Arabidopsis thaliana: one gene and its partner. The protein of the gene in region 1 interacts with the protein of each later gene in a pairwise test. Each region holds a gene or a part of one and is shown on either strand. Other genes may lie near its edges.

The links.
Region 2: the proteins of AT2G33350 (region 1) and DREB26 interact in a two-hybrid assay, tested with the Arabidopsis thaliana proteins (one large-scale study listed by BioGRID).

Annotation. Positions count from the first base shown.
Region 1 is NC_003071.7:14,132,019-14,139,831, reverse strand, and holds AT2G33350 (CCT motif family protein), read right to left. Parts: upstream 4,691-7,813; 5' UTR 4,630-4,690; coding exon 4,555-4,629; intron 4,468-4,554; coding exon 3,721-4,467; intron 3,585-3,720; coding exon of another isoform or gene 3,582-3,584; coding exon 3,384-3,581; coding exon of another isoform or gene 3,342-3,383; exon of another isoform or gene 3,308-3,341; coding exon 3,179-3,307; intron 3,104-3,178; coding exon 2,996-3,103; 3' UTR 2,671-2,995; downstream 1-2,670.
Region 2 is NC_003070.9:7,693,352-7,700,417, reverse strand, and holds DREB26 (Integrase-type DNA-binding superfamily protein), read right to left. Parts: upstream 3,992-7,066; 5' UTR 3,764-3,991; coding exon 3,071-3,763; 3' UTR 2,587-3,070; downstream 1-2,586. UniProt on the Arabidopsis thaliana protein: Transcriptional activator involved in the regulation of plant development and tolerance to abiotic stresses. Involved in salt and osmotic stress response pathways. May be regulated by the stress-related genes RD29A, RD22, DREB1A or P5CS during stress response.

The sequences.
Region 1 (7,813 bases):
TTGTGTTGTGTGTTTCTTTTTTCTCTCTTGTGTCAAGGCTCGAGATTTAGGGTTTTTTAGTTTAAAGTGTGGATTTAGGAGGGTGAGTGAGCTGGTGGGCACGATCGAGAGAGAGAGAGGGAATCAAAAGGAAGGTAGTGATGGCTACTTGTTGGCGAAAAAGCAGGAGTTTTTAGTAGTAGAAGTTACTGTTTCAGAGACTAGTGCCCACATTATTAACTCCCCCATTTTCTTCTACTATTTACTTTTTCTATTTTCACTATTTTCTTTCTTTATTCTTTATTAATTTATTTTATTTTCATTAAAGTTTTTTTTTTCATTAGATCTTCTTTTTTCAATTATTGATTTTTTAGAACTTTTTTATGTTAATTGTATGGATGATGTAGTGGATCGATTCAAATTCATGTGCTTAGGTTTTGATTTGGACGTTCTTATATGTAGTTGATTAGTATATAACTCTTTTGCTAACGAAATTAGCCCGATCATTAGAAAATTTTGGATGACCAATTTTGATATTGAAATTTATACAAGTGTCCATGATGTTTACCAAGACCGGATCGAGTTAGGCCATTATTTAAGGAAAAAAAAAAGATACGAATAAGAAAAAAAGACAAAAGTAGTATTAATTGTAATAAGATTTAGTTACACATCAAAAGAAGAAATTTCTTAAATTTCAAGCATGTATTTATTATACGAGTTTCAACAAAGTTTCTAAATTCTCTAGTTAGTTTTGCAATTTGATTGTTGTTAAATTTTAACAAATTTGTACTAAACATGCAATACTGACTTGACTAATATAAACATTCAACCAGAAAATAAGAGGTTTTTAAATTGTATGATTGTGTTATAAAAATGGTAGGTTTTTAATTAGATAGATATTGAGTGATTTGTTAGAAAACGGTCGACTTCCAAAGTAGGTAGCTCCGTATACAATAATGGCAAAGGTTAAATTAAACCTATATATTGTTTGAAAGTTTTAAAACAAACCCTACAATACATATTTTGCCTTTTTTATACATGATTAAAATATTTGACATTTGGAGGCTTTAGAACATATATTGATATTTTATCTACGAATATTGAGAATATATGGACCAACCCAACAAAATTACAAAACTGTTTTGTCTCATTCCGGACCGTGAGCTTGTGGCACATGGTTGACTCGACCATTTGGTTGCACCTTCACTTACATTTTTATTTAAATTTCAAAATTCAAATACGTAAATTTCGATAAAATAGTATAGTGAAATTTAGTTCCACTACATATGTGTATTATTCTTCTTGAAGATCGTAAATGTCAGTTCAATTATTCATCTAGAAGATTATATGTTTGTAAATATATATCTATATGACTTTAAATATACGTGTAAATTCAGTCGACCTACCGTACGTATTATAAAATTGATGCTCTGGTTTGTATACTCTAAGATTCTCCTCCACCAAATCCGGTCCATTTGTTTGCACTAATCTCATTAACCTTTTTAAAAAGGAAATGTGAAGCATCAACCAGAATACATGTTTCTTCATGCATGTGATTTAGTCTTATTTCTTGGATTTTATAGTTCGTTAGTGTGTCTGGTCGAAAATCATATCTATCGATATTTTTGATTTTTGACACACGTGTAGATGTTCTGGAAAATAAGTTATAAAATAGACTCGAAGTTGATAAGACTTGTGTCGTGATCAAGTTGTGTAAGTCTATCATCTATATAGATCAAGATCGGATGTTTTAATTTTCAAAAGAGTAATTATAGCCATGATGAAATTTTTAACTCATTGGACTTTTAGGATAAGTTTTGTTTGCTCTGAACACTTCGATTATACGATAAATTAAGGAACCAAACAATGAAATCACTTTGCGCTGTCAAAAAAGAAAAAAAGAAATCACTTTGCATTTATTCGACCGTAAGATTATAAAACTGTATTTATCGTGTTTATAAGTCAAATGGCATAGTTAAACTCTTGAATATATATAGTTTTATATAACATAAAAATCTATAGTGATTTCATAAATTTGATGGTGACATTTCAATACCATAATTCATCTCTAAAGTCAAAATCACTATATTTTAATATTTGCCGTTGATACGTTTGGTTCGAAGTTATTGACTTAGTCGCCATTTATATTTTAACAGTCCTCGGTTAGAACTTAGAAGTTAAAAAAAATTAGCAAATGGGTTTTCACTTTTCAGAAACGAACAAAAAGAACTATTCAACATAATAAAATATCGAATTATTTCATTACAAAGTTACTACAAACCTTTTTGTTCTTCTTTCAGTTTAGCAACTATATATGGCCATGAAATTATGGTACGATCATCATTTATTGCGCATGCATCAAGTTGTCAATCGTTTAAGCTTTACATTAATCTTAAATGGTAGCCTACAAGGGAGGCCTTAATTATATAATTGATCTGTAACACTCTGTTGGCCCAGTCCAACATTTTGATACTAACAAATTAAAGCCCAATTATTTCATCTTTTTCTTAAAAATAGTTACTACTATCCTTTTTTTTGGATCAAATAGTTATTATCTAATTACTAATTAGATCTTCTAACCAGGTGTTAGACATGACAATTTGACCGGTCTATTCATTTTGTATGCATAGAACATCTGAATGATTTGAGAAGCAAAATAATAACTCATATGACGATTATATATATAGAGTGTTCAGGTGATAAAAAATTCAACTCAACTTATCAAATACAAGACATCACATATCATAGTATCTACAAAATTTCCAAATTGCTAGGTAACATAATTACAACCTTATTCTCACTACTGATTTATTCATCCAAACCTGCCTAAACCCATTATTCATTATTTATTTTCAATACGAGTTAGATTATTTATTTTTTTGACAGAAGTCACAGAACTTGTTGGGGGCATGACAAAACTAAGTATACAAGTCATAACTCTATAGCAATACTATTTGTGTAACTATTATAAGATTCATGTTAAAACATGAGGTATATGTGGTGTTGCACTTGGAACTCAAATCCAAGATTGGATTGGGTAGTTGCACTTGAAGGAATTTGCTCCACTAATGTGTGCAAAAATGTCTGAAGAATCTACCAATTGTTCCTCATCCTTCACTCCCATCTGTAAACCCAATCGGCTTAGTTAGTTTTCACATAAATTCATATAAATCGAGTTAAAATAACCCGGTTTTCTTACATCGTCTTCATCTTCATCATCATGATGGCTTGAAAAAGCTTGTCTATTTGGCTCACCAAATTCATCATTCTTTGCAAATCTTCCTCTAACTCTTGGTCGACTATCTGCCAATGTTTTCCTACACGCATACTACAACCCCCCAAAAAAATCATTGGGACAACATTTAACAACGGTTAAGTCCGGTTTGGTTTAATAAAAACCGAACCTTGATTTTCTTGTTGAAATTCCTTTCGTTCCTCTTCTTCATGTACCTACGAATCTTCTCTTTCCTTTGCTCAGGGGAGAGTTTTCCAACTTTGTTCAACGTTGAGTCTTCTAAACCGTTTATATCGACCGGTCCTAATGCTGGATGAGCTTGAGGTGTCACCAAGTGGCTCTGGTTCTCGGCGCCACCACCAAGTGCCTTCTTCAACAAAATTAAACCGGTTAGCATCACATCAGAATACCAACCCGGTCTTGTGACCGGAAATCTTAGCTCCATACCGGTTCTTAAAGATAACCAAACGTTAACCGGAAAATATTTGTAACAAAAACTCAATTACCTGGAGATCTTCTGGATTAAACATACGTTTGATGGAATCCGGACAAAAAAAACCACCATTATCAGCTTGAAAGTCCATCAGTGGATCATGTGGCTTATTGATTTCTGATCCCACATGAATATTCCCGGGAAGATAACCGAGATTACTTTCAGCAGATAATAAACCGGTACTCATATACGCCGGTAAACCGGACGAACGGAAGAAAGAGCAAGAAGGGTTCAAACCAAGATTGTAACTTGGGACTGAAGAAAGACAATCTTCTTCGAAAACCCCTGATTGTAAGGGAGGAGGAGCTAGAGAGGAAATCGCCGATAGAGACAGAGGATCTCCAGAGTATGAAATGTTAGGAGGCTGATGAATAACTTGGAGACCTGATGAGAAATCAAACTGGTCTTGGCTTATTGCCGTGAGGAGATGATCGATGACTGGATATTGCAGTGAAGATGATGAGAAATCGATTGAAGCCGTTATATCGTTTTCGAAATCTTCTTGTGAATCAAAGATTATGGACAGATCCGTGTTGTTGTTGTCATCTTCATCGTCTTGAAGGTTTGTGTTCTTGTTGTTGTTGTTGTTGTTACTGTTCTCAGTTGTTGTGGTGGTGTTAGTGTTGGAATGGAAGCTTCCGGATTTCTCAAGAATGTTTGAAGTAGAGGTGACTTCAGAGGATTGATTAAAGGTTTCTTGAAAGAGTTGTGGATCGCAGAAATCGAAGATCTGAGCACTAAGAGGGCTCGTGATATCATCCTGTTAAGATAATAAAAACAATAGTTAGTTTCAAAGATTAGATCGAGCATGGAAAGTAAATGAACCAAGATCTTTTGAAGAGATTACGTTAAAGCCAAGCATCAAAAAAAGGTAACAAAGGTTTTGGCTTGAGTCACAAGAAATTAGAACTGGTGAAATCATAAGAAGCTACAAGATATTAGTTCTTAAATCTTAAGAGAAATTTATTTATACTTAAGTAATTTTGTTCTGGCTTAACTATGTTAAGAATCTGTAAGATGTTTTGATTCTGTTTTTCGACATCCAAACACTCCAAAGATTTTGGTGTCTTGATCAAATCCAATGTTTGTTTGTTATCAATATTTGTTGAGGACAACACAAGAGAGATTAAATGCATCTGTTCTTTTATGTGACATGTTAAGAAGAAGTGTTCCAATTACTTCCAATAGCTAAAAAGATAAAGTAAAGAAGAGTGGAGTTTCTATAAACGGAAAGTTTTCTGATTCTGGTATTTCCTTTTCGTATTGACAAAATAATTTAAAATTGCCTGGTATGAACCAACATCCAGATTTTTTTCCCACAAAGAAAAAGTAAAGGGCACTTCATAAAATATCAGAACATGTGTGAAACCCATTATGATCATGATCATATACAAACCCATCATGATAACAAACAATGCTCCTAGTGAAATTCACGTAATATGTAGATTTTGCATAAAATCCAAGGTGAGAGATTAAATCTAGCATTTTTCGTTTGATGAGAATAAAAATCTATACTAAAATACGATAGATATAGTGAATTATGGTTACAGTTATTTTGTAGAACAATATTGTTCCATATCATGTGACGATTTTCTATTGGTTTATAAGTAATAATCGTATGCCAATGAGAATTATGATAATGATTGTTCAAAAAAAAATCGCATGGAAGGACAAATTGAAGTGCGGAGAGAATAACAAAGAAAGAAAAGCGAAAAGAATGAAGCAATTTATAAGAAGATCAAATGGAATATAAGTAGAAGAAAATGACGTTACACCAAAAAAGAAAAACTAGCTGAAATTATAGGGTAGTTGCCGAATAAAAGACTACGGAATAAAAATTAATCAGTTTATAAGATTAGACTCGAGTTTATATGATCTATACATGTAAGCAAAATTTCAAAGACAAAAACATCTACGCATTGCATGAATAAAAATGAAAGCAATAATGAGAAGAGAATTACGATGGAAAGCTGATCGTGAGAGTGAGACGAGATCATGTCTTGCAACATGTTTGTGTTCTTTGTATATCTCCAATGTTAATGCGAAAACTTTCTGGGAAAATAAAGAAAATTCCCGAGAAAATATGAATTATAGCAAGAAAATTAATGAACGAGGCTTCAAGGATGATTTGTGGAATAATATTGGAATGAGTGATGTATGATGAACAAGAAAATCCATGGAAGAAATTCAAATATTGGGAGGAAAAAACAACAAAAACTGAAAAAACAAAGAGGTAATTGAATTAAAAACAGAACAAAGGTTCTTCTGTTTGGACAGAGAAGAAATTCAAATTCTTATAGTTTTCTGGAAAAAAAGAGGTTATGGGAGTTTCACGTAACAATCATACATATATATATATACTTTTGGTTTTATGTGTATGTATATATTTGTATATACTAAACTAATGCATGTGTGTTTCAGTGTATGTACAAATTATTTTCACATAATTTTTATAATATATTCCAGCGTGGACTTGATGCAAAAATGTGATACCCTCGATTCTCCTCTTCACATGACGTGGAAAGCCCACGTAGATATAATGGTGTTGACGTGGGTAAAGGATCTCACGTAGGAGGAAACTATTTAGACCGGTCAATGAGTTTGACCCAATTCTTGTTCCGTGGATTTTGACGTTTTTGACTGAAAATCGTCCTAAATTAAGCCCTATATTCGTGGAATTAGTTTCTATGTTTTTAATTTAGATATGCATTTTTCTATCTTTTATCTCGTTTGCTAATTTTATTGACTTGGCTCATGATTTCCCGCAAAGGAGAGAAAAAGATTTCGACCAGGTCAGTAAAGTATTAGAAAATAGAAGATATCTAAAGTAAAATGCTACTGGACAAAATGTCTTTGGACAATAAGCATATTATTTGCCTTAAGAAAATATTTAGGGATATCAGATAAAATTCGAAAACAATGTTTAACCAACTTCGAACATTTTTTTTAATAAAAAATATGAAAATGATTTCATATAGAAAAATGCTTTGATTGTGACAGTTTGAGCATAGGGTCAATGCATTGTTATTCAAAATTGAGAATATTTCACTTTCGTACACTTTTGTTATTCTAATAACCATAAGGTCCATAACAGAAAAAAATTAATATGAGAAGATATGTGTGTAGAGACTACAGGCTACATGCTCGAGATCTCATTATCGGTACGTAAGACACAAACAAAAGTACGAGTCGTACGTGTTATCCATCAAACTATAACTTACGAGTGTTTATTTCACATTTATAGTCTTCAAATAGGTAAACACGGATTCACTTTTTGTTTAAGCCCACGATTTACATTTGTACTTGTGTTGCCGATAAAAATAAAATATTATTTTAATGGTTTTGAAAGCGTTTTTGGTTACTATAGTAGATCTTAAGTGTTTTTTGTATTTCACTTATTTCATTACATGGAAAATATAGTTCTCTTCTTTTTATTTGTTCTAATCATGAGACATCAACATCGCCTTTCAGTATCTTATTTTGGTCACAAAAGTCTATCTACCATTTGAAAATCATTGTCAAGAGTCTATCTAGTTATTCTATGTCCAAAAATATTATTACTTCACTTTCAAGTCGTCTGCACAAACTAAATTTTATATGAGGTTTTTTTTTTGAACACAAAATTGTGTATGAGCTTAAACTACACTACACACGTGCATAATAGCGATTAAGACACATATTATAAGGATTATCTGGGTGTAGAAGTTCAGAATTTGGGATTACGAGAATTGCAATAAATTGTTTACAGATTAAAATTTAACGAAAGGAAATTAAAATAAAAGTAAAACAGCTTAAGATCAAAGCTGATTTGATGAATTGATACTTTTGAAGATATGACCATCTTCATATAAAGTCTGAAATGCAATATATGCATCACGCATTATCCAAATAGAAAACGACCACCACTTTAATTTCAAGATATAAAACCAATACCTAAAATGAAGAAAATTTATATATGCATGTGCATCTGTAATATATAATCAACCATTAATTATCTATATATAATTACGATTCACCAATATTAATTACATAATCTCAAACGTTATACGTACGTATTATTTAGGGTTGAAAACAAAACAAAATGTCATGCGTATATGAACTATACA
Region 2 (7,066 bases), on another chromosome or scaffold:
CTAAAAGACAAAGCACATATGACCTTAACTCTTAACTCAATTATACATGTATAGAAAAAGTTTACTAGCAAACAATTCTTTGCTACAAAAGTCTCTCTTCTCTTCTCCGATACAAGAAACAGAAGAAAGTGTTTGGCCTGTAAAGCTTGGCGTCACATGTTTGGTAGGCTACTGATATTTGAAAGCGACCAAAACTTATGTTATCTGGGCCTATGATAAAATTAAAATGCTAGTAGTAATTGGATTCTTTTATCCAACATGACAAGTAAATGATAACTCTGTCACCGCCGCCAATATTTTTCAATTTTCAGAGTCAAGATAAGTACAAGTAGAAAATATATGTCGTGCAAGGACACGATCGGATACAACTTTTTGGCAGTGGTGCAAAAAAGTAACTAAACCTAATCTTGTGGACTATATTGACTTCTATTTAATCTTATATTATTATCTAAAGCATGCCCATAATTATTCATTTTTATTGTAAACTTTTTTTTTTTTCATTTGGCTTGTAAATGAGTAAATCTATATCAAAAATATATAGATTCTTCCACACATTTTGTCAAGGGAGATTATTAGGGCTTTTTTTTTTGGCGAGCAAACAAGACTCTTCCACAAAATTTTTGGGGATCAATAGGTTGTCAGTTTGGAATCTACCACTTAGAAGAAGGAAGAAAATCCATTACAAGTTTTCCTATTTACTAAAACCTTTTTTCTTAACTTGACATCATCGTCTACTAAAATTCTTTTAATCCAATGAACTTATTAAAAATTGCATATTTCACTGTAGCCATCAATCACCATTGCTTCTTATATTCAGAAATTGAACTTAAAGAGTTCAATCCACTTTATAAAGCCTTAAATGAACCGAATTATGCCGAGCCTCTTTTTGAAGCCCAATGCATTTCACTATTTGCAACGAAAGAAATTCTAGAAAAAGAACTTACAGCAGACAGCAACTTTTAATGATTTTTTCTGTTCTTTTTTTATTTAGCAATGGATGGGCCAGAATCGATAATGAGCTAGACAAAAAATAAACGATAATGGCCCCAAAACCAAAGCCCATGGACGCCGAATCCTAAATCACTAAAGAAATAGAAACGACTAAAATAAGAGCGTTGAGCAGGAGACATGTCATGTGACTTCAAGGTTTTATCCCAAATATTGAAGTTTAGATGTTCCCTTTGACAAAAGAAATGCTATAACACTCTACACAATCAGATTTAATGTTGATGTGATATGATATGAATCATATGAATGTCTTATCAAATCACTTTATCTTCTTAAGTATGGGGTCCCATCTTATGTTTAGTTGGGACCTCAAAATTGTGAACAAACCATTTAACTATGTCCTGTTTTCTATTATACAGACGATAACGTCTCCAAGATTTTTGTCACACTAAGACCAATATATCATACTTTACTCACATGATCACTGATCACATCATTTTTTCTTTTTATATATGCGGTGTTAGTATGATGTAGATTCATAGGATATGATCACAATACTTAACTATTAGACCAAGTTCATCTAAGCCAGCCAACAAATAGCATTGAACCGTATACGTTCACACACTAGGAAACAATTATGTTTGACCGAGTGAGCAAGCTTATTAGTTTTCACTTCTAGAGTGGAGGATGGCTCTGGTCGTAAGAGGACAGTTACAAACTCACAAGTCACAATATTGTACTTTTTAATCAGAGTAAAACGTTTTGTGTGCACTCTAATCATCACTCAGTTAAAAGGTGGAACAAAAGTATATGGTTTTGATGGCCTTAGACAATCAACTACGTCAACCACATCTCTCATCTACACTACAATTTTTTTTTTGTGGTCTACTCTTTTTCCACATGGCATCTGTTTGTAAAAGGTTGTGAACATAATTTGACTAATATCACAATTTGCGGTCACTCTCTTACATGTTAAATCATATATTCGTTAAACAATCTTGTATACATTGATCTATTGATAGAACCAAAGCTACAAAATAAAGCAAGCTAGAGATCTCCTACCTTTTGGTGATGGTTTCAAGTAAGTTTCATGGTTTGAATGAGTTAGAGTACTCTGAATATGAATAGAAAAATCAGTTTACAGTACTCATTAGTGAATCCTACATAACTCTAACTCTATTGCAGTTATTTATATCCCTTGACTGCAGTTCTGTCTCCATGGGATTCTTTCCCAAAAAAGGAAAATAAATTAAATCAAAACAAATGGTTTTTTAAGTTCCAAGTTTCAAAGATATGAACTTTGTCCCCAAGCAATGTGTGCATTATTTGCTATACCAAACTTTTCCACGGCACATGAAACAGTAAGATTCCTCTGAGTATAGTACTATACTTTAATTTTTGTGCAAAAGTATAGTACATAATAGTATTTAATCAAACAAATTATGAATTATGAAGAGACCTCGGGAAAAAGTAGTTCAGATTTAATTATACATTAATTTACATATATATTCATCTTAAGAACTTTACCAATGTCAATGTCAATGATGTGTTCTAACTTCTAACCAATGATGGTTGTCAATTAGTGAAAAAAAAATGATTGTCAATTATATACATCATCGGCTTTACTACTTACCAAAATAAGAATAAAAAACAAAGATAATGTGTTGGATTGCAAAATCATCACATATTGGTAGCAACTTGGCACATATATACAAGTAAACGAGTTGGAGAAAATGATACAAAATCATATATAGCGCCAGATTTATTTCACAAAACTATTGTGCGAAATATATCATTACAATACAGAAATATTTTCACACATTGTTAAAAAAAATTGATGAAAAGAAACCTCACATGAAAAAGTCAAAGAAGTGACAAAAAAAAGAGTCGCTTGTTCATGTGAACTTCCTAGATCCCTATTAAATCCGAATTGTACCGAGTTTGCTACATATAAAAACTTACAATTATATTATATAATCGTATCCGTCGTCAATTCTCTCCAAGCAACAAACAACTTGGAAATGAATAATTACGACGAGGGTAAATATATGTTACATATATAAAAAAGAATTTAAAAAATGATTTAGAAAACTAATTAAAGTATGTATTATGGACCGTCGGATTAATTGAAACTCCAAAGCGGAATGTCAGCATCTTCGTAGAAGTATTCATCGAGCATCGTCGTCGAGTTTAGTTGAGGAGAGTAATTGAATGGAGCTCCATTATCAAACAAGAACATCCCATTATGATCATCATACCATGAAGATGTTGAATCCATCAAAGACACATGATTGTCCACAAAAGATCCCATCAAAGATTGCATCCCATCATCATGGTGATGATCATGATCGGACGGTGACGAGACGGCTGATGAAGTAGGGGCAAAATGGTTAAATGAGTTGGCAGCTTGAGCAGCTACTCTTTGGATGGATTTGGGGGACAAAAGGGTATTTTCATCTAAGAGATTATCAAGAAGATGATGAGAAGAAGAAGAAGTAGGGAAGTTGAGATTGGCTTGAGGGCCTTTGAGACATAAGAGTGCAACATCGTAAGCTCTAGCAGCTGCTTCAGCTGTTGAGTAAGAACCTAACCAAATCCTTGTCTTTTGATTTGGTGCCCTAATCTCAGAGACCCATGATCCCCAACTTCTCATCCTCACTCCTTTGTACTTCTTAATCTTACTCTTCTTGTTCTTGTTCTTACACGAAGACGAAGACGAGGAAGAAGATGAAGAAGAAGAAGAAGATGGTGATGATGACAAAGGCATTTCCTTTTTTGTGCTGCTGGTTTGGATCTTGCGTTCTTGTTTCACCATGGTAATGTTGTTGTGTACGTACAGGCTTTGTAGAGTGATTGGACAATGTGGTAGTGATCAAGTGGAGATATTGTTCTTGAGTTTTTGTTGTTGTTGTGGATGGATAGAGATTTTTTGATGAGGATTAGTGTGAGCTGAGAAGATTATATATAGAGATGGATTGATTTGGGAGGGGTATGGGAGAGGAAGAGATGAAATATTATTTATTGATATAAATCTAAAATAGGGTCAAATGAAATATAGTATGGTTTCTTGTGTATGAATGTGACATTGTGGTGCATGACAGGTGTTTTTCTTCTAATTTTTCCTTTATCCTAGCAATTGGCATTAATACATTTTTGTTCCATTCAAATTAAAAAAAGAAAAAAAAAGAAACTAGTGAACATAAATCTTTGGAGCTTAGTTATTTATTCGAATATGGATGCATGTTAAGGCTTTGCCCAATTGTTCGAAGTTCGAACAATGAACCTGAACATGGCCTCATCTTAACCTTTTGCTATTTTTGCATTTTCTTATAAAAAATAAATCATGTATAACTAATATTCTTGGTATTTAGAGGAAAAATACATAAACGTATAATGATTTTGATTGGCTTTTTTTATTGAGGAACCACAAAACAACAATTAATTATGCGATCACGTAAATTTTTATCAATTGCATGTTCTTGTTACAAAGAAAAATGTATATTTTTTTATTCTACAATTTAAATGACAAAAAACATTAATTTCACAAGGGTCCATTTTACAATTAGATTTATTCTCTCCAAGTTTATTAACGTGTTAGATTCTTTCTAGAATTTGTCCAAAATATAAACCGAGTGAACTAAACTATCAAACTAAAATAAATTACCGATTGGAGTCAATTTTGCTAGGAATTAATTAACCAGGAGAGTATATATATTATACACACGGACGCCAGTTGATGAGCAAATCGAGGAGTGATGCTAAAATATCCTATAGTATTTTTTTAGGTTGTGAGATATCAATTTTCTTTTATATATTGACTATATACGTACCTATCATCACTATCAGGAGATTACGAATTACAGCTGCGTTTTAACGCGTTAACTCGTAATACGAACTTTCCAAGAAAGTGGCCCCATTTATGGTTTAATTATTGGTTGTCTATGTTTATTCTTTACCGATTAAACTAGTGTGTATATTTGTAGTTATACACCAAATATATATATACTGTATCATGTTTATATATTTTTATGAAAAAGTGACTGTAAAACCTGCAAACATACGTGCACGAAAATGTTATTACTTGTAATATTTTTTATTACTAGAATATTGATCCATCTAATCTTTTTATTAGATTTGTTACGTGTATCATCAAAGTCTAAAGAAAAATCTGGTTTTAAACCTAGCTATATGACAACTTGCTATTGAATTTAACATTTTAACATCGTGGCTCATCGCTTTGTGAATTGTGAGTAACTTACGCGTTAACAAAATGGAGATGTCGTACAAAACAGTAATTAGTATAAATACGTTTGATAGTATTATAATCATTTGGTAATCTTTAATTATACACCATAACGTAACATGTTACATAATACATACAAATGCTATTCAAGAAGAACGATATCGCCTTTTAGCATCTTGTTTTCTTACATCATTAAACAACATGAATTTTGTTAGTAATATGGAATACTTACGAAGAAAATGTCAATAGGAAATAGTAAATGAAAATAGCGAAGAGTGAAGTCAGAAGAGTGTGGGAGAAGGTGATGATGCTAAATTGATGAGTGACTTCAAATTACAGCTGTTCTCACTCTGTCTCTTTTGCTACCCAAATCCAAACCGCGTTTTCTCTCGTCAGACTCACTCGTGTATTTATCTTCCTAAATTTTGTAATCTTTAAAAAAAATTAAAAAAAAATTCATACTATATCGAAAATATGATCCAAATTTATAATTACATCGTTTTCTCCACATACAACTTGTGTTATTAAAATTATATATATACATATATACACAATTTGTCTTTGAGTCATTCTATTTTAGAATATAGAAAATCAAATAAAGCTCAATTTAACTCGTTTTGTCGAGTTAGGATTTCGAATTCTAATAAATTTTGTCTTACGTAACTTTAATATATACCAACATAATTTATACGAACATATGCTAAAGATTGATATAAAGTATAAACAATTGAAAAAGGGGGAAAATATAAAAATAAATAAATAAAGCATATAAAACTTTAGGACACGCAACGAGCACATGATCGTATGTAAGAAAAGATGGGAGATGACATGTTCTTTGTGGACAGCCTTGACTTTCTCACAAAGCTTAAGATTAATCATGGGATATGGTACTTTAATTTGTTGTCTTCGTCTTTAGATTTCACACTTTGGTCTTAAGCAAAACTCTCCAAGATGTCAGTTCGATAAAGAGAGCGAGAAAGAATATGGGCGGATTTTGTCAGCTTTCCAGCCAAAACATGCGTTTGCATGACGAGAAGAAGCATCTCGATCGTGGCTTCTTTCAATTTTAACTTTTGAGTTTTAACACGTAGCTTATTTCATATTTGACACTTACTCGAATGTAATCTCCTCTTTTGAATTTTGAAAATGATACACTAAACTAGAAATGCATCAATTTTATAGGCTTTTATGACTAATTGATGTCGAGTGGATTGACCATGTTCATTATATTTTACGATAGGTTTTAGGATTGTCAAGATGTTTCACTTACACATGAATAGACATATTCAGACATGCAAGCCTAAAGTAAAGGCTAAGGCAAGTAAACAAACATTGCAGTACAAACATATTTGCTTTAACAAACAAACAAACAAACAAAAATTAAAACAAAATGGATCTTTCTTGATAAATGGAAAATCCAATAAACTGTATGTATTAATTGGTGGTACCGTACTCTCTCCGTACCAGTTCCCAACAAATGACTCAACAATATCACCACGATACAATCTCAACCTCAATAGTTTCAACATTTATTATTGGTGTACTATTTATCGTAACAAATTTGGAGGATTACAATACTACAGCGCATGGCAAGGAAATTTCGAGGAAGATGAAATAGTATACGTTGAATGTTTTTTGTTTTTCATATTTTTTTTCATTAAAGATGTACGTTGAAGGTTCAACCATGTATAATGGATCCAGTGAACTAGGTTCAACCACCAAATCCTTTTCTTTTGTATATCTCACAGATCTATGATTTAGTCGGTTTTGAAAATGTTAAAAATGATGTGGGGACATAAAATATGATAGACCCCATACATATTTGTTTTGGTTTATAAATTCATATATAATTTATTTTCCGTTTACATAATTCAC